Coturnix japonica: one gene and its partner. The protein of the gene in region 1 interacts with the protein of each later gene in a biochemical or structural test. Links are inferred from orthologs where the notes say so. Each region holds a gene or a part of one and is shown on either strand. Other genes may lie near its edges.

Region 1 (9,850 bases):
CCTAGGGCCACAACTCCAGATATGGTAATCACCACATGTGTCTTGAAAAGGTCATGGGGGAAAAGCAGGAACTGAGTGGGAGGGCAGTGCAGATAAAAAGCCACAAAGTCCTTAAGTTGGCAGTAGGTTGCACCAGGGGAAGTTCGGGTTGGATATTAAGAAAAGCTGCTTCTCAGAAACAGTGCTAAGGCACTGGCACAGGCTACCCAGGGAGGTGGTGAAGTCACCTCCACTGGGGGTGTCCAAGAACCAAGGAGATGTGGCACTGAAGGATGTTGTTAGTGGGCATGGTGGGGATGGGTTGGTGGCTGGATTAGATGACCTTAATGATCTTCCCCAACCTCAAAGATTCTATGATTTAAAGAAGGGTAGGCAGATAGCAGGAATACAGGGAGAGCTAGAGCAATGCGGACTGACAGGTAAGTGGTGGGTGGAGATGCAAAAGATGAAGAGATGCTGAAAAGGAAGACTCGGCCAGGCAGCAGGAAAGGCGGGGCTGAAGAGCTTTTGCTCTACCTTGACTAGGAAGAAGGAGACCCCATAGGTCTTGAGGGAGCGGGCCAGCTTCACGTAGCGAACTTTGGCCTCGATCTCACTCATGTTCCCGCAGTTCTTGTGGGCCTGTAATCACCAGAGGACATCAGGTCAGCTACTGTGTTGCCTTCACAGCTTCTCCAGGCTCTCCCCCTGCCCTACCAGCATTCCATTTCCCACCCACACTATCCCTCTGAGCCCCTGGAACCTCAGCGCTGTCACATCTGCCCAACTACAGGCAGACAGTCCTCTTCCTCACCTGCCAGGCTGTGATGTGCTGCAACAAAAGCAGCCCAGACCTCTGGAAAGGAACTGTGACAAGCCTGATCTCAGCACAGCCTCGCACTTACCATAAAGATCTTGCGTTCCCCTTTCTGCTTGATGTATTCCTTGGGCAGGAAGTCTTTCAGCCTGCCAAGAGATAGCAAAATCAGCTCCCAAAGCACAGCCCAAAGCCAGCATTTGTGTTCCCCTATGAAGACGCTTAGCACAGAGCCTTGGACAAAACCCCACCGGTGCAGAGTGTTTTTGGGAACAGGAAGGATGTGGGAGAGGTCACCACAACTAATGACAACTCCAGGACCCAAAACCTTGGAGCCACCCTCTGGGATGATGATACCCTGGAGGACAGAACTTGGCACATGTGCAGAGGGACACCCTGGGACACTCACTCCAGAAAGCCCGGCTTGTGCTTCTGCTCGTTGTGCGGCCCGAACTGGATCTGGCACTGGTAGCCAGCAAACTCACACGCTTTGTCAAATGAGACAGGGTGAGAACCGTTAAGGATGTCATCACGTGCCTAAAAGGGGAGAGAAAACACTGGGGTCTGCCTTGTTCCCTTCCACATCTGGTGGGATCTGTGCCGGCATAGAGGAGCTAGCCAGACACCTGAAATGCCCCTGTGGCTGCTCCTGACCAAACACCAGATGGGTTGTCACAGGGCAGCAGTGCTGTACCTGCACGTAGAGCAGGTTGAGCTGTACAGGATCTCGTGAGTCCACGTTCTGGTCAGAGTAGAAGAACTTTCTTCTCAGCAGTAGCGTCTCGTTATCATCGATGCCTTGCTCACGCAGGGTCCGGCCGTGGTCCAGCCAGTTCACTGCAGGTGATGGCAAAGTGTGAGCAGGGATAGACGGCCAGGCAGGGACAGACAGACAGAGACATACAGACAAACAGGTGGCCTTGCTGCCACTCCCACCACCCCCAGCATGGGATGGTTCTGTCCCCAGAGCTTGCCCACACATACACTCGTCATCGGTGTGCAACTTCTGCTTGAGTTTCTCCATCTTCTTCTCATCCCGCAGCAGGGTCTTATCCTTTTTGAGGGTGCCCGTGACCTCCTCCTTCTTCTCCTCCATGATTTCTCGAACCAGTGAGTACTCGTCATAGTTGGTGATGCCTGCAAGAGCACACAACACTGACCCAGTGCTGCTCCCCTGACACCCCATGTTCCTCTCTGCCCCACGATGCCACCCCTCCTCTCACCAATTCGAGCACATATTGTCATCAGCATGTCTGTAACGGTTTTGGAGTCGTCGACCATAACCGTTTTCACAGTTCCATCCAGCATGCGGATCTTCAAGGGCCGCTGCTTCTTCTTATACTCCATAGTATCCTGCAGGTACAACCAGCATAACTCCAGCAGCCATACAGGCCACAGCGCACCACATCCCCCTGGCTCCCAACTCCCCAGTGGGACCACGGGGCACATACAGTGCTGGCTGGATGCTTACCCCATTACGAAGCATGTAGTAGTCCAGTGCCTTCCCAGCCTCCAGCCAGATCCCCTTCTTTGGGTCTTCATCAGAGAGGAACAGCCCAAAATCATTGGCTGGAAAACACAGAGATTCTGTCTGGTTTGGATCGGGCCACTGGGATGTGCACAGGACAGCAGCACCCCTGAACGCTGCTGGAATTGATTGCAGTGGCCACGAGACCAGGGAAAGCCTGAGTGGGCAAAAAGCTGGCAAACAAACTGCAGAGTGGGTGTTTTACATCTGTTTGTCTGCATGAGAACTCATCTAAAGCATGCCCACACAGTGCTAACTGGGAAGTGGCAGTCACAGCTGACAGATGAGCTCAGAGTGGTGGCTGACAGCTCTCTAAAATGCTTGATGCAAAATATAACAACCAAAAGATGATGATAAAGTGCTGAGCATGGCCAGGAAGGGTGCAGGGAACAAGGCAGAGTTTGCAAACACAACAAGAGAACAGCAGAAGTGATGGACCAGGAAGGGCAGCTGCTTGCTGTGAGGGACTGAAGAAGGATTTGATGGAGGTTTAGAAGGTAAATTTGTGGAGAACTCTGATGTTCTGCAATCCTGCCCACTAGGGTGGGTCTGCTGCTGCCCAGGGACAGCCCTGGCACTGCTGCTACGAGAAGTGCTGCCCTGGGAAAAGCCCTCCTGCTCCCTGCCAGCAGCCTCTGGTTGTGTAAGCAGGCAGGGAGGGGGAAATTCCTGAGCTGCCCCATGCCTGCCCAGCTCATGCTGTGCAGGGGATCCTGCTGAACAGAGCAGGGAACCAGTGAGGCTGCCCTTTGTTGGCTTTTGGAAAAGCAAGCTATTTCCAAAGCCAATTCTAAAAGGCTCATTCTAAAGCACTGAGAACCATGCAGCTCACTCAGATCCCTACACAGGAGGAGAGAGGCACTTCCTGGGGTAGGGCAAGAGCGGAGCAGGAGCTCAGCACAATGTGCACGGAGGTGGCATTCAGCCACAAAACCCAGGCAAAATGCAGGGAACTGGGCAACACCTGTCCCAACAGCTCAGGACTCCCCTGTGGGGCAGGAAAGCAGGCTCAGGGGGGTTTGCTGGGAAACACAGGCAGGGTGTGCTCAGATGGAACTGTAACAGCATCCTGGAAGAGGAGCAGGGCAGCTCCAAAAGGGACCTACAAATGTCACTGGGTAAGGGCAATAAAGAGAAACAAAAGAAAATGGTGAGCTCTGAGGCAGGGATGAGGTAAAAGCAGATAAATGGAAGAACTGCCTTGGGGATTCCCAGCATTGCAACCTCAACATAGGAAGCCACGGACTCCTTTGCAGCAGGGCTGAGTTCCAGCTGCTGCCGGCAGAGCAGAGGGCAATGGTCAGAGCTGGGGCTGAGCAGCTCCCTTTAAGGCTCTCTCCTCTCGCTTTATGAGCAGCCTGGCACAGACCCAGGGGCAGGAAATGCAATGGCTGCGGATCCGAGTAAACACCCCGTCCCCCTCTGAAACCGAAAGCCATGGTTGTGCAGAGCGAGAAGGCATTTCCTCTGCTGCGCCAGGAATCTGCTGCTCCCAGATGTCACTGCCTTCACCCCCCCCTCCTCCCGGAGCTGGGGGTGCCTGTGCTTGGGAACCACTGGGACATGGCTCAGCATCCCGAGGTGCTTTGTCACCCGCTTAATTTTGAGTCTGACGGCAGCGGGGAGATATTACAGCTGACAAAGCTCAGCACAACGGCAGCACGTCACGGCACCACTGAGAGCTGCCGGGGAGGGTATATGTTCCCCAAGAAAGGAAAAGTTAACTTATATGGTGCAGGAATACCCGCTGGGAGCACCGCAGTTGTTGGAGCCCACCGAGCCCTGGCCAGCTTTGTGCAGGCACATAGGAGAGGGAACACAGGAGGCAGGGAAAGGGCTCATAGAGATGGACACATATTTCACTTCCAGTGCATTTTTCCTGCCCCCTCTCCAAGTCCCCAAAATTCTTCCCAAGTTTCTGGGAGGAATATTTCTAAGATTCACTGCATGTTGATGGGAAGCCTAGAGCAGATCAAGGGCGGCACTTGTTGAGCTGAAGAAACTGTTGCCAGTTCTCATGTATCACTTATTTTTGAGCAAGTGACCTTACAAGGTGACAGCCTCTGTGCTCAGGTGAAATCTGCTCCTCCTGGAGCTCTTTTGTGACACTCTGTATAGCTGAGCAATTCCTTCATGTCTGGGAGCCTGAACACCTTGCTAGAACCAAGGTTACTAGAAACAGCTCTATCAGAGCAACCCCTCCAGTTGCTACAGAGAGGGACCTGCATCCCTCTGTGCGACGGAAGGACTACCACAGAAAACCTGATTAGCAGGGGGTTCAACCAGATGATACCCAGAGGTCCCTTCCAACCCCTACAATTCTGTCTGTGTACAGACCTCCAAAATGATACACAGAGCTCAGACATCTTGCAGCAAGATAACACCACTGAACTCCAGCTCAGTGCTCCAGCAAACACTCATAAAGCTTCCCAAGCTCACAATCAAACTTCTTCACCCAAAGTATGCAAGATGCCTTGAACCGAGCTCTCCCATCCATCATGTAGCACCCGGCAAACACCCTGTGGGTGCAGAAACCCAAACCTTGGGGGCACAGAGCAGGAAAGGAAGCTGTGAAGAGCTATTAGATATATATTTTAGAGATGCAAACAGCAGTGCAGCAGCAAGCCATAGAGCTCAGCCTGAAATAAAGCTGCAGGAGTGTGCTGAAATTATGGGTGCTTAAGGGCTGCCCACCCCAGGCAAGGGAGAAGAAATTAGGGCAACTCCAGGGCTGCCAGAAGAGGAAAAAAAGGGTGCAGCTGTGGAAGCAGAAACACGCTTGCAGAGGGCAGGGGATGAGCCCCACACTTACGCTGTCCCATCTGTGCCTCGGGCACGCGCTCCCGGATCATGCGGCAGGCGTCGTACACCATGGTGGAGGGCTCAAACTGCATCGTCTTCACCACATTGCCAATGCTGATCTTCAGCGAGAGGGCAACCATGGTGGCGGCCGGATTATCCCCACTCCTGTGTCACCTGCTGAGGACACGACATGTCAGATCCCACCGCCAGGCACTGGGACATGATGCTGGGTGGGCTGTGCTGATGCTCACCCCTCTGCAGGTGCCTGGAGGTGGTGGGGGAGCAGAGCTCAGAGCTCAGATCCCAACCCAGGAGCAAGTGATGGTGGTGGAGAATAGGGGTACAGACAGAAGGAATTCAGATGGAATTCCCAGCCTGGCCTCCTAATGCAGAGCCCTGGGGTTGCTGTGTCCACATCGTGCACCCAGCGTCCCTGAGTGTGTTGTGCTCGTGCAAAGCCGCGACCCACAGCACAGAGGAAATGCATGTCAAGTAGTGTGCTGAGATAAGGCAGCACTGTGCGACGGAAGGGGCTTTAATTAAAACTGTGGCAAAGAAACCACAAGAAGAAAACCTCACGTGGTGCAGGGTCTGACCCCACTATCGGGATCCTGCAGGGAGCCCTGTGGGGACCCCAGGAAGCGCACACTGTGCTGCTCGAGGAGACAGGGGCTGGGGTATCACCGAGCTTGCTGCAGTCTGCTCCAGGGGGCTCTGGAGCTTCCTCCCCACAAGATCCCGGCGGCCACAGGGCTCTGCTCGGGAGGAGCGCGGTGCCGCCTCCACCAGCGCGTGGAGCCGCTCCAGCTGCGCATTCCTGAGCCGTTCGGCAATGCAGCGCAGGAGCCCCGTCGGAGGCCCTCGGCCCCCGCCGACGAGGAATGCAACGCGAGCGGGACGGCCCCGCACGCAGCCGCCCCGCAGCTTCACGGCCAGGAGCCGTAAGAGGCCGTCGGGGATCCGAGGGGACCGACGGGCGGGGCGGCTGCGGCCGGCGGGACTGGGATCGTTCTCTTTCCTAAATCTAAAAATACCCCGGAACGGAGCGCTGAGCCCTTTCCATCCCTCCCCCCGCTTCTGCCTGCAGGGCAGGGTCAGGGAGCGGGGAGGAAGAGGAGAGCAGAGGCAAGCAAAGTGATTGAAACTGTCCCAAAGCAGGACAGCACTGCAAAGAAAACGGGATGCCGCACCCGGCCAGCAGAGCGGCTCGGCCTCACTCGTGAATTGCTGCAAAATCGGCCCAGAGCTGCAGGATGTGCTGGAGGGGAAACTGCAGAGCGACACGGGCAGCTCCAGCTCTGCGGGGCCGGCAGCAGCCACACGTGGCCACCATCCTGCACCCCAAATGGTGCTGTGCCCCCAAATAGCGCTGTGCAAGGCACTTAAGACACGTAAAAACCAGAGGCTCGTTGCTCTTTCCACGTTCTAAGGAAGTGCTTTGAGCACTACCCTCCACCAGTGTGTAAAGCAGAAGTAGTCTATTTAGAGCAGCCCTGTAACAACGTGGCGGTGGGGAAGGTCTGGCTGACTGCTGCCTCACACGGGATGGGATGCACGGGGAAGAGCTGGGTAGATTTCCACACTGGGGGTATGCATGGGGACAGAACACGGGTCCACCGCAGGGGTTGGGTGCATTTGGGCATCAGAGGGCAGCGAGAGCCCTTCTGTGGGCTCTGCGGAGGCACCAGCACGGCAGGAAGCAGATGTGGGGCTCTGTGCTGATGACAGCACCGGCACAAGGGCCACACCGTCATGGTGCCCTGAGGGCACAGACCAGACAAAGTACAAGAAGAGGACTCCCAGCCCCAGGCTGCTCCACTAGGAGGTGAAAAAAAACAACGAAAAGCCAAACGATGTGATGAATGCACACCAATTTTCAGCACTGGCCGCCCTCCAGGGAGAGCAAACAAGTCAGCAGCGCTCGCTGGTAGGCGAGGCAGATAAGCCAGCACAGCAGCAGCGGCTGCGGGCACTTCTGCATTTCTCTTCCCTTCCCCACGACGCCTCCGCCGCCATCCCCGAGGCACAGAGCGATTTTCCACCCCATGACGTCGCCGCTGTATTTATACCTCCCGGCTTCACAGCAGCGCTGCTGCAAGCACGGGTACAGAGAAAGTTTTATGTTAGCAAAAAAAAAAAAAAAAAAAAGAGAAAAGAAAGAAAACAAAGCAGAGCCCGACCAGGTTCTACCGCATGGGCTGTGCCTGCAAGGCAGCCCCACTGCACGCCCGTGGCACACATCCAGCGGCCGCAGAGCTTTCCCGAAGGAACCGAATTCACTGCCCTGAGCTCGGGGAAAGGGTCGGCAGTGTGACCGCACCAAAGGAAGTTCCCACAGCCCTTCCGCTCCTGCGGGGAGCACCCCGCACCTCGGCACAGCACAGCACTTTAAGGACTGTAACTGCTTTGTTCTGCGCTTTCTTGTGTGTGTGTGTGTTGCTGGTTGTTTTTTTTTGGGTTTTTTTTGCTTTTCCTTTTAATCATTTCAGAGAGCTCAGCGCGGTTCGGTCTCACGCTCCGACGCCTTTCCCCTCCTCCACCGAATGGCAGAAGTTAATGTTTTAACCCAGAGGCAACAGCGCCGGTCCCGCAGCACCGCGGATCCCGGGCGGGCAGCTCGGTGACTCAGCCCCACGCAGCTCGGCTGATTCACGCCGCTTCCTCCTCTCCGGCGGCCGCGGCCGGTTCGTGCCCGCCGGGGATGGGCGCCGTGCGGCATCGGGCTGACAGCGGGGACGGCGACTTGGTGCCCGGTGAACGGCTCCGGGACGGCTCCCTGCAGCACGGAGCCGCACCGCACCTTCCCCACCCGCATCCTAAAGCGACGGCGGGAACGGGGGATGCTCCGACCGTCCCACGCCCCGACCCGCCTTGCAATACAGCCCCGCAGCGCAGCGGCACCCACGCCCGCCGGCCCGCGCGGGGTGTCCCCGTCCCGCAGCATCGCTTCCAAATATGGGTCTGGAAGAGATGCAGCCCCGGGGCCGGGCGGGGGCGCGGAGCTCCGGGGCCGGGCGGGGGGTTCAGCCGCAGGGTCGGACCGCCTCGCTCCCCACGCGGGGCCGCGGTCGCGCCGTGGGTGCGGGAAACAGGATGCGGCCGCGCTCCTCCCGCACGGAGCGCCCAGGGGCGGCGGCCAAGCCGGGGTGGGGCGCGCCCGGTCCCGCTGCGCTCCGCCGCACGCGGGGTCTTATCACGCAGCGCTCCCCCCGCGCACCCCAACGTTCCCCGCGTTGGCAGCAGCCCCCACCCCGCGCCTCGTGCCGCCGCGATGCCGCCGCTCCGACCGCTCTCCCCTCCCCCCCGCTCCCCGCCCAGCCGCAGCCCCGCGGTGTCGGTGCGTGGCCGCCCGTCCCGGTGCCGGTGCCGGTGCCGGTTCCGTACCTGAGCGCGGCCGAGCAGCGCGCTGGGGCCCGCCGAGGCTGAGCGGCACAGCGCCGGCACCGCCCCAGCACCGCCCGCCGCAACACGCAGCGCATGCGTCGGGGGGAGCGGAGCGGAGCGGCGCGGAACGGCACGGCCCACGGGCTGCGCTATAATGGGCCGTACTGGGCCGTAAAGGGCTGTAATGGGCCGTACTAGGTTGTAATGGGCTGTACTGGGCTGTAATGGGCCGTACTGGGCTGTAATGGGCCGTACTGGGCTGTACTGGGCCGTAATGGGCTGTACCGGGCTGTAATGGGCCGTACTGGGCTGTAATGGGCCGTACTGGGCTCTAGCTGGGCTGTACTGGGCTGTAGTGGTCTGTAATGGGCTGTAGTGGGCTGTAATGGGCTGTAGTGGGCTGTAATGGGCTGTGCTGGGCTGTAGTGGGCTGTAATGGGCTGTACTGGGCTGTAATGGGCTGTACTGGGCTGTGCTGTGCTGTACTGGGCTGTAATGGGCTGTACTGGGCCGTACTGTGCTGTAATGGGCTGTACTGGGCTGTAATGGGCCATACTGGGCTGTAGTGGGCTGTAATGGGCTGTGCTGGGCTGTGCTGGGCTGTACTGGTCTGTAATGGGCTGTACTGGGCCGTGCTGGGCTGTACTGGGCCGTGCTGGGCTGTACTGGGCTGTGCTGGGCTATACTGGGCTGTACTGGGCCGTACTGGGCTGTAATGGGCTGTACTGGGCCGTAATGGGCTGTACTGGGCTGTAATGGGCCGTACTGGGCTCTAGCTGGGCTGTAATGGGCTGTAATGGGCCATACTGGGCTCTAGCTGGGCTGTAGTGGGCTGTAGTGGGCCGTACTGGGCTGTACTGGGCTGTACTGGGCCGTAATGGGCTGTAATGGGCCGTACTGAGCTGTAATGGGCTTTACTGGGCCGTGCTGGGCTGTACTGGTCTGTACTGGGCCGTACTGGGCTATACTGGGCTGTACTGGGCTGTACTGGGCCATACTGGGCCGCATTGGCCGTACTGGGCCGTACTGGGCTGTAATGGGCCGTACTGGGCTGTACTGGGCCGTATTGGCCGTATTGGGCTGTATTGGGCTGTATTGGGCTGTATTGGGCTGTATTGGGCTGTATTGGCCGTACCGGGCCGTGCCTTGCTCGCTCCCCGCTCCCCCCTCCCTCTCCCCGTTACGCCGCGTGGGGGCGGGACGTGTCGCGGGTGCTGCCGGTCTGCGGTCACGTCATCGCATCGCAGGGCGCGGCGCTGCGGTCGGGCCGTGTGCTGAGCGGGGCGGCACCGCGGCCTGTTCCTGCTCCGGCCTGTCCTTCCTTCCTGCTCCGGCCTGTT
Region 2 (10,436 bases), on another chromosome or scaffold:
CAACCCCAAACCCCGGGTCCTGTTGGGGTATGCTCCTTGCTCCAGGAGGCTCTGGTTGAAGAAGGATCCATTCATGGTCTACGTGGGGTCCCAACCGTCGGAGGAAGGCAGGATGGAGCTGGCGGTCCCCCAGCTGGTCTCACATCCCGCAGGCTCCGTGCCACCTCCTGCCTGTCTGCTCCTGATGCCTGGGCTGGAAGGGAAGGAAAGGTGTGCAGAGAGGGGCGGCGGGCTGCCAGCTGCCACCAGCAACTCAGCACAGTCACCCGAGCACGGAGAGGGAAGGAGAAGGGAGCACGGGGCAGAGGAAGGCAGTAGGAGGCGGTTGCATGCTCCCTGCCATGCTGCCACCCCGAAGCAATGGGGACTCCCAGCAGGAGCCGGGGGCTGATGCCTGCCGGCTGGGAGCTCCACGGATGCAAGTTCCCAGCTCAAGTCTTCCCCGTGTTCAAAGAAAAACCAGCAACTCCACCCCCTTGCAGCCTCCCCCCAGGACCGCCTTCCTCCCCCCTCCAAGCTCACCCAGGCTGCCCACCCCTTCCCCATGCTGCTGCATCCCCTCATCCTGCTATGGGGGCCCAAACCCACACCTGTGCTACCCCCTGGCTGTGTGCTAACCCCTGAGGTCCTGCCATACTGCATCCTCTCCCCCAGCCCTCCACCTGCTTCCCAGAGCAGCCCACCATGTCGGTGTTGGGCCTGGGTCACCAGCAGCTCCCCTGTTCCCCCCCACACACCCTCCTGTGAGCTTCAGGTCTGTGCTGCTCTCACCGATCCCTGCTTGCTGCTCTGTGCCACCCACTCCTTCCTTAGAGCAGCGCTGGCCCAATCCAGCCCCGTCCACCCCCAGCTCTGCTCTGTTCTTCTGTCCTACACTGACAACTGGATCATCATCCTCTGGCTGGGGGATGTTTACACCCAGGCACCTCCATTTCCCCTTCTCATGCTCCTTTATCCCCATCAGAAGGAAGCACAGTGATGCTGCACCCCGATCTCTGCATCCCACCCCCATTCCCAGCTCAGGGTCCTACAGCAGCAGCAGCTGTGGTCCATGCACCGTGAGTGGGTGCAGATGTGTTCGGGTGGTGCAGGACAAGAGATGGCCATGACATGGAGACTGTGCTCTGATTGATCTGTGTACGTCTCAGCTCGCTTTGCTTGCACAGCCCCCAGAGGGGATTTTAATAAACCCAAATGAGAATTGATAAATTGCAGCTAAAGACGTGAGCAGGAGGCCAGTCGGATGGGGGTGGAGGGTGGCTTGGTAGGAACACATCAGTGATTTCTCTATTAAACAGATGAGAGCTGAGTCTCTATATTTTGCTTTTGTGGCTTTTAGGGGCCCAAAGCAGCTTGCTTTGACTTTTACTTGTTGCTTTTTCCTCCTGGTAGCATTGCTCCCCCACACTCCATAAGGTTATTTTGCAGCAGAAGGAATGAAGCTGGAAGCCTGGATGGGACAAGGGGACGGAACCCCCTGCATTTAACCCCAGGGCCAGGAAAGATCCCCCTGGGAGAGCAGAGCATCCCAGTGGCAGCTCCTTTCCCCGCTGCCTCCGGGCTGGAGGAGTTTCTGCTCCCTCTGCTGGCTCCAGTTCCAGCTCCAACCTGTTCTGTATGCCGGAACAGGGCACTGCAGCATCACACAGGGATCACAGCCATCCCCTGGGGACACAGGGACATGGGAACACTCAGCTCTTGGCTGCTCTTCACCTTAATTCAAAGAAGGGCTTCACAATGCAGAGCATCCCACGATTGATTCCCCCCAGCTCAGTTTTTGTCCAGCTCTCCAACTCCCAAAGAGCAGCAATGAGAGCCCATGCTCTACCCAGTGCCTCCCACCCTCGTGTGCCCCACATCCCCATCACAGCAGTTCTTACAGGACAAGCAGCAGCCAGGAAAGGGTTCAAGGACTCAAATACATATTTATTTATTTTTTTTATCCTTTTTCCTTCTTTTTAAAAGGCTTTGGAAGCATGAGCTGGAGTATCCCACTCTGCTTGCACACAGGGCTGTGTCCATTTGCTAGGCCAGGCACCCAGGACAGGACCCCAAGAACCATGGGGATGTGGCACTGAGGGACACAGTCAATGGGCACAGTGGGGGTGGGTTGGGTTTGGGGATCTGAGAGGTCCTTCCCAACCTTTACAATTCTATGACCCTAAGAGGACCTGTGGGACTGACAGCTCGGCCCATTGAAGCACAGATGCAGGTTGGGCAAAGAATGGCTTGAGAGCAGCCCCAAGGAGAAGGATCTGGGGGGTGTTGGTTAATGAAAGACTCAGTATGAGCTGACAATGTGTGCTTACAGCCCAGAAGACCAACTGTGGATCGCAGTGTGACCAGCAGGGTGAGGGTGGTGATTCTGCCCCCCTGCTCTGCCCTCATGAGACCATATCTGTAGTATTTCATCCAGTTCTGGACCTCATAACACAGTTATTCCACAAGATGGAGTTACTGAATAGGGTCCAGGGGAGGGCCACAAAGATGATCAGAGGGCTGGAGCACATCCTTCATGAGGACAGGCTGAGAGCTGGGGCTCTTCAGCCTGGAGAACAGAAAGCTCCAGGGAGACTTTATAGCCTTTCCACTACTTGAAGGGAGCCAACAGGAAAGCTGGGTTGGGACCTTTTAGAAGGGAAGCTAGCAACAGGACAAGGGGAAGTGGTTTTAAACTGGAAGAGGGAAGATTTAGGCTAGATATTAGGAGGAAATTCTCTGCTGTGACAGCTGTGAGACACTAGAACAGTGAGGTAGTGGATACCCCTCCCTGGAGGTGTTCGAGACCAGGCTGGATGGAGCTGTAAGCAACCCAGCTTCAATTGAAAAGCAGCACTTTATCAACACTACATGAGGACCGACGGGTTTCTCTGGGTCCCTCCTTAGCAAATCCACGTCAGCGAGGCAAAGGGAAGATCCCAGAAGGAGAATGTCCCCTTAGAGCAGAGTCCCGACGGCCGCCGGAGGGCAGCAGCTCTGCAGGGAGGGTGGGATGAGGGGGAAAAAGCGACAACGGGGCGAATTTTCAGGCCAAGAAAGTGCCGCTATTGGAGCCGGGAAAGCCTCGGTTCCCGTGTTGTCTCCATCTGAGGGTACGGACAGATGCAATGAGCCCCACGCAAGCAGCGGGGGAGGGCTCTGTAAGGATCTGTGCCTGCTGACTGTGGGAGAAAACCAGCACAGCCAGCAGAGAATCAGCTCCAAATCACGTATCCCAGTCTGAATTTCCCTCCCTCCGTGATGTCGGGTTTGTACCCATCCCTCTGCACAGCTCCGGGGCTGTTCCAGCAGGGATTCTCCCACCTGAAAGACTGCAGAGAACCCACACTTTCATTGCAATACGCATGTGCTCTGTTTCCCCTTAAATCCTCACGCTCTGAAGCAGCTCAGCCTCAGCAAGTTTAAAACCCACGCGGCCGAAAGGGTTAATGAAGGGAGGGAGTGAGCGAGGTTTTGCAAGCAATTAAACCCGGTAGAAGAGCCTGCTACAGCCGGTCCTGCACTTTGTGCCCAGGTTCATTAAGACCTTTTTAGAGTCGAGAGAAGGAATAAGCACAGGGATCTCCGGGGGCAGGACGGGAGGAGGCACTGCCCGACTGCAGTTCGAGTGACGAAGCAACGTAGCTTCCTCCGGCCGCCCAGCTCGGTGTGTATGTGTGTCACACACACCCAGCGCATGATTCATCCCTTGGACGGCTCTAAACCATCTCAAAATCACACGGCGGGGCCGTCCCACACCCCTATAGCCGGGGTTCGGAGGAGGAGATGGATGAACTCCGAGTCGTTTTCAGCATCTTGGTGCTCTGCGCTGCTGGCAGCTGGGGTAGGTGTGGGGCTGGAATGCTGGGTTTGCCCTGACATTGCATGCAGTGCTTGGGTTGCGTGCTGTCATCCCTAAACCCTGGGATTCTCTTCATTCCCACGCTGTCGGGAAAGTCGCTCAGAGGGGTGGCAGGCAGAAGGTGACCTCAGCACAGATCCCCATTGCTGAATTTACCCTATTTTCGGGGTTCCCCGCTCTCTTCTCACTTTGGGCAGTGTGAACTCAGCCCTTTCTCCCTGTGCAGTGCTTGGCTGTGGTGCTGGTTTGTAGTGGGAGCACTGGGGTGGGCTCTGTAAGCAGGCGGTAAGGGCAGAGCGCAGGGTCAGCAGTTGCTGTATCCACCTCATTTTAGGGGGTCAGCATTCATCAAATCCATTTTTCTCCTGTTCTTTTGGTGCTGGTCTTTCAAAGCCCTGATTTCTGGCACCGGAACAAACGCAGTTTGCGTTGTTCAGAACTTTACGTGCCTTGTGGAGGAGCAGCCCAGGGAAGGGAATGTCCTCCCCAGGTGCTTTCCTGAGCTCAAATCAGAAAGCAAATCCCGCAGCCACAAAAGGGTGTTGTTCAGCTCCCGGTCTGTAAATCAACCTCATTGTTTTGGAGACCCGACCCGAGGGGATTTGGGTCAATGTTATTTTGGTTAAAGAATGCTGGATTCGCTGGGTTCCCAGGAACAGCCCGAGGCTGCGATGTGCTGAGCCAGCTGTATGGATGCGCTCACCCCTAGGAGAGTCTGAGTTTGTAGGGTTGCACTTTTGGGGCTGTGCGTTTATCCGGTCCCATAACCATCCTGGGACATCTCCTCTGCAGGAAGATGCTGGTAAATGAGGAAATATTCCAAGAAATGACATAGCCCCGGATGGAGCTATGAGCAGGAGCAGCCAAAAAAAGCCCAGCTCCCTATTGCTTAGTCAAGCAGAAAACCCAGAGATGATGTCAAAACAACTTGTATCCATACCAAGTATTTCTAAAGCATCCTTATCAAGAACTCTGCATATTAGCAAGGGGAAAAGCTGGCTCACACAGCACACGGGGTGTAGGCTGAGGTCTGAGTAATTTCTCCCAGCCAGGGAAGGGGGATGCTCAGCCACAGACGTCGGTTGGGGCATTCCAAGTGCATCATTTGCAGTGCGCTGTCTGAACACTTCTTGGCCCTGACGGTGCTTCCTGTGCTGCTCATGTCAGCACCCCACGTTCCATGCATTGGGATTTCTTTTCTTATTTGAAGACCCGAGTCTTCAGGAGCAGCTCGTTATAGGAGGGCAGCTGTTTTCATAGTAATGAAAACAAATAAAGGCAGCTTTTGCGCTTTGGTTGGTTCGCTTTTATGACTGGAAAAGAAAAACCAAGACCTAAAAATTAGTGGGGAAAAGAAAATAAATCAGATACACAGAGTTTATTAGTTTAGGCTGTGCTGGAATCTTGTTAACCTGCTCATGGCCAGGCAGAACTCAGAGGGCTGTGAGCAGGGTGTGCTCAGCCTTCAGTATCCCCTGCTCTCCTCCAGACTTGGTTTTGCAACCACAGCATCTTTGCTCCTTGATGCATCCTGCTGTGTCCAGCCATGCAAACAAAGCTGTAGATGACAAAATAGGGGTATTTCCCAAGGTAGGAGGTGAGGCTGGGGACAATCCCCTTCATGTTCACATAGTGATAACAGCTCTGCATTAAGCACTGCTGGCACCTGGGGGATTTGGGCTCCTCCCAGTGGGTCAGAGCTGTGTTCAGCTGTGTTGAGCACACCAAGGATGGCTCAGTAAAGCCCCACATCCTCAGACACATGCCCTGGTCATGGGACGATGGGGCAAACCACCTGATTTATAGTCCTGGGTACCAAAATCAGGCAGAAAATGGGGTCCCCAGCACAGAGGGGGGGTCCTGGGCACCTTTGTTCCACCCCAACCAAGGGGACACAGTGCTGCTCTGGGATGTTAGTGAGGCACAGGGCTCCCCTGCATCTTGCAGTTCAGAAGCTGCTCCCAACTTTGGGCTCCCACAGAGGCTTTCTCACTGTGATAAGCTACAGCTGGGGATTTTGGTGTATGCTGAGAGCTCTGGGTGTGGGTACAACCCCAAAACTGAGCAAACACGAGATGCTGCAGGGCCATGTGTCTAAGCATGGTGTCATTCTCTGTGTCCCAGCATTGGCCCCATGCTCAGCTCCTTGTACCACCATGTTCATGCAGGAACATGCATCCACACTGCACAACACCCTTCATGCCAGAGGGCACAGACACACCAATAACTGTAGCTGTGGCTGTGCCCAAAGCCCAGACCTCACCGTTCTGCTGTTTCCTCTTTGTGTTTCACAATGTATTTCCTCCCATTTTTGCAGAAAACATTGCAGCTGCAAAGGGAGGGCCTTGAGTAGGGAATGAGGGAACATAGGGGGATCACAGCAACTTCACACTGGTACTGGGAGATCTCAGGGCTGCAGTGGGGGCACACAGCACCCATAGGGCCCAGCTGCCCCATGGATGCTGGGGACCACTGTACCTCAAGAGGGAGGAAGAGCTGAGGGTGATGATGTCGTGGCCATGTCCCCATCCCCTCATTGCATCAGCTGTTGGAACCAGAGAGCCATACAGTTCCCAGCTCTGCCCTTCCTGCCCCATGAGTGGACATGATATCTTCCAATTGAGGTGTGCGTCTCCTGACATCCTCACTGCCAATCCCACTGGTGGAACAACAGATTTACCCAGAGCGGTATCACAAGCAGCTGTCAGCTTCATTTTGGTCAGAAGCCACTTCTCTTTCTTTTCTTTCCCCCAGCTGGAGCAGGTGGGACAGTTTGTTACACCCAGAGCTCACCACAGCCCCAAAATACCCACAGAGAGGCACCAGGGATGATGTCTCCCAGGGCTGCAGGGTTAGGGACACAGTAAGGGGCTGGCAATGGGTTGGCAGGTGGGAGATGTCAGCAGGATGGAGCCCAGCTGGTGCTGGGCTGTGGGGGAGGTGGCTATTAAATGAACAGGGAGGGAAGCACTGGATTTGGAGCTGGGAAAGGGGTGAGGTTATGTATGTGGGATTGGGCTTTGCTTGCTGTCTGAGTTCATAGGGCTGTGTGGTGGTGGTGGTCAGCAGGTAATGACAGCTCTCTGTTTTGTTGTTCCAAGGGAGTAACATCTGCACTACCCGAGGGGTGACCTCCTGCAAGCAGTGCCTGGCTGTCAGCCCACTCTGTGCATGGTGCTCTGCAGAGGTGAGTGCTGGGCTGAACTTGAGATGGGCTTTGGGCTGTGGGATGGTGTGTTGCAGCTACATCCAATTCCGTCTGTTCCCACTGTGTCTAAATACACCCCTCAGTGGCATCTGGTAGTGGCTATAGCAGTGTGCACCATGGGGTTTGGTCTGGGTTCCTGCTTTGCTCTCAAAATCTACCCCTTGTCTGGGTAGGAGCTCTGGGAAGTGCTGCTTTCGTCCATTGACAACTCATTTTGTCTCATACTGTGTGCTTGGAAAGTTGGTTCCCTTTTTGTTGGCTTCTTGAAAGCTCCTTGTGAAGCTCTGACTAAAAGGAATCTGATTCATGGAAAGGCTGGAGAGGGGATTTAAGAGAAGGAAAAATAACACTGATTAGAACTTGTGTTTGGGTTTAAATGCCTTTTAACCATGGGAAAATGGGGGATGGGAAGATGAGGATCCTGTTTTAGGTTATGGAGTTAAAGGGGACGTGAGGGCTGAGCTATGGCTCTGAAATCCATTATCTGGGTGTGGGTGAGATGTGGGAAGATGTGCCACTATGCTCTCCAAAAATGCTGCCCTTAGGGTTGGTCTATCAGGGGTGTAAGAGAGGAAGTTCCCAACAATGATGCATCTGGTGAGCTGCAGATAAAGGGGACTTATGGCTGCAGGGCTCAGTGAGGCACTGCTGTAACAATGCACTCCTTGTGTGTTGCAAGAAAGCACAAAGAAAGGTCTTGTCTTTGTCTCCTGCTTCTGCAAATGTGGAATTCATCCACAAATGGGGATGGGGAGAAGACCAGGAGTATTGACCTGATCTGTGGGATGATCCCCAATTGCTGCCCACCTGTAGGTCCCAGCAGATCCCATTGTGTCTCCCAGCATCTTCCCATTGCAGGGTGCATAGAGATGCTCATGTGGATGAGCCCCATTTATCTCCTGCAAGGAGTGGCTCAATTTATGCCATGATAAGGACTCAATCCTCTGTCTGCTCCTCCCCAGCCTGGGCTACTGGTGTGTTAACACTGCAGTTGGGGCTGTTATGGTTTTAGCTTTTTGTTGTGCTCTTACCCCCCCGACATCAGCAAAGGTTTCCAAAAAAGGCAATATTTCAGGCACTGTTTGGGGTTGTGCTCGTGGACGGACGTAACAAGCAGTGGAAGAGCGTCCCACTGCAAGCAGCCGGGCTGTGCAAACTACTCACAGCTCTGCCTCCAACATCTGGAGAGCATTGTCTTAATTTAGCAAATTTAGGGCTTTTTGCTGAGGGTTTGTTTAATATCCCCGGGGTGGGTGAGGTCTCTGATCCCCCCTCCCTTTTTTTAAAGGCAGAGTGCCCCTTCTTGCACTCTTTCCTTTCCCACCCAGGGTTAACAGTTACTCCTGCTCTAGGCTTTGGGCAAGAGGGGAATTTTGTTGCTGTTTCTTGTGAGCTCAGTAGAGAACAGCTGACTTTATTTTTCTGGAGCCCTGACCACCCTTACCAGCTAATGGATGTGCCCACCCAATTACTTTCCCTTAGGGGAAAAGCCAGCTGAATCTTAAAGCTCTGAGATAGCTTTAGAGAGTATCATGGCAGATTTTCCAGGGTCTCACCTACCCTAAATATCAACTGCTCCATTCCCCTTAGAGAGAAGGGGGAGGCAGTGCTGGGCCAGGGCTTGGTTTGGAGAAGCTGTGGAAGCTTTTAGCTTGATCTGCAGAGATGTCTATGCCTTGGGTCCTCCCACCAGCTCCCCTGCAGAGAATCCCTCCCTGTATGTGGTTGCTTACGAGATGAAAATGGAGATGCCCTGGAGACGTGCATTGTGTTGCAGTGGTGATGGGGTGGGATGGGGCTGGTTCTGACAGCACCCTGCCTGGCCCTGTTCCCTCTTTTGGGGTTTAGAGGTGGAGATTGGGGTGAACCCATTAGATACCCAGTCCCAGAGAGAGCTTGTGCAGGTGGGAGATTGAAACCCTGGTCAGAGAATGACAGAGTGGGTAAGGGGTTGGAAGGGACCTATGGAAGTCACTGATCCAGCTGCCCAGAGGGGATGTGAGTTGAGGAGCATCTGCAAGGAGCTGTGGGGTGGTTTGTGATGGAGGTGGGACCCCCTGCCCTGCAGCATCTCCTTCATGGGGAGCCCTTACTGGTGCTGCTGTGCTAGTGGGTCTGGTCTGCCTCTGAGTCACTCCATCTCCACGTCAACAGCCTTTAGGAAATGGAGAAGGATGGTGGTTCTGGGGTGAAACAGCTTCTGCATGGGTATCTCTTAGTAGGAATTATACTGCTGATCCTGGGAGGGATGTGTGCCCTTCTGGAGCACACCAGAATCTCAGGGTATCACCAAAGAGTCCAGAATCATAGTTAAAAACCTTTCTGCCCATCTCTCTAGTTCTTTCCCTGCCTGGGACAGGAATGTGTGTAATGACTGATGAGTTCTTTTCTGAGCCCATATCACCTGGGAAAGCTCTTGGTGGCCATGGGGATATCTCTGGAGGTTCAATGGCCTCAAGGGTTCTGTGCTCTGCAGTGAGAGCCTATGGGGGTGAGCTGGAGGGATGCAGGGAGTTCATGTGGATGGACAACGTGTCCTGTGCACCACAGCGTGCTGCGTAGGGAGGAGTGGGAGGCCACCAGGGAGGAACACGCCTGCTGATGTATTTTCTGGCTATTGCTTGTGCTGAGGGAGGAGAAAAAAGCAGACAAAGGCCACTGCTGATGGGGAGGGCCTCCTGGTGCTTTTTTTGCACTTTTCCTCTTGTTTGCATAAAGCACACAAATCAATTCCTGGGTTCAGCCCACCTGGATCCAGGGGAAGCAAATAACCTGGGCTGTGGAGCTGTGGTGATGGGGGGAGTAGATCTGCTTCTCTCCCCTCTCGGGGCTCCAAATGGAGAAAGCTCCGTTCTGTGGGAGGGAAATGGAAGAGCCCCACCGAGGGGAGGGCAGCAGCAGAGGAATTCTTCCCTTATTAGTCTTGATGGGAAACGTCACCCATCTCCGGGACTGCCTGGACCCCTCTGTATACCCTGCGATAAGGGCAGGAAGCTTTCTAGGAAATTCAGAGGGGGGGTTGGAGCCCTGCTGTGACTTCACACTTTCCATTTCCTGCCTCTGACAGACCCTTGATTGCCTCTCCCACAGCCCGGTGACTTTTTGCTCCTTCTCTCCTTATTTGGATCTCTTTTCCCTCCTGCTGGGCTCCAGCAGGAAGCCAGGGAGCTGCCGATAAGCAGAGCTGCACTCAGATGGGAGCACTGGGCTTTCCTGCAGCAGAACTGACTTCACTTACGTCAAAGTTCCAATGATTGCACTGAACACTGGGGAGAAGTTGGGCCATCTTATCCCAGAGTTTACAAAAGGCAATAACACTATTAAAATACCCCAAACAATGCCTGATTCCCTATGCTTTTGCTCTGCTTCACCCTCTTTGTGCACATA

The links.
Region 2: the proteins of TLN1 (region 1) and ITGB3 form a complex in vitro, tested with the Homo sapiens proteins (6 studies listed by BioGRID and IntAct, with this or other methods). The link is inferred for Coturnix japonica from reciprocal best matches to the Homo sapiens genes TLN1 and ITGB3.

The regions. Positions count from the first base shown.
Region 1 is NC_029547.1:8,426,221-8,436,070, reverse strand, and holds the start of TLN1 (talin-1), read right to left. Parts: upstream 8,638-9,850; 5' UTR 8,511-8,637; intron 5,304-8,510; exon of another isoform or gene 5,301-5,303; 5' UTR 5,267-5,300; coding exon 5,137-5,266; intron 2,366-5,136; coding exon 2,268-2,365; intron 2,150-2,267; coding exon 2,020-2,149; intron 1,934-2,019; coding exon 1,781-1,933; intron 1,634-1,780; coding exon 1,491-1,633; intron 1,334-1,490; coding exon 1,206-1,333; intron 946-1,205; coding exon 885-945; intron 622-884; coding exon 517-621; intron 1-516. UniProt on the Homo sapiens protein: High molecular weight cytoskeletal protein concentrated at regions of cell-matrix and cell-cell contacts. Involved in connections of major cytoskeletal structures to the plasma membrane.
Region 2 is NC_029542.1:1,803,252-1,813,687, forward strand, and holds the start of ITGB3 (integrin beta-3), read left to right. Parts: upstream 1-3,497; 5' UTR 3,498-3,652; coding exon 3,653-3,823; intron 3,824-6,942; coding exon of another isoform or gene 6,943-7,028; intron 7,029-10,436. Other genes in the region: RPRML (reprimo-like protein), read right to left, coding at 1-75. UniProt on the Homo sapiens protein: Integrin alpha-V/beta-3 (ITGAV:ITGB3) is a receptor for cytotactin, fibronectin, laminin, matrix metalloproteinase-2, osteopontin, osteomodulin, prothrombin, thrombospondin, vitronectin and von Willebrand factor.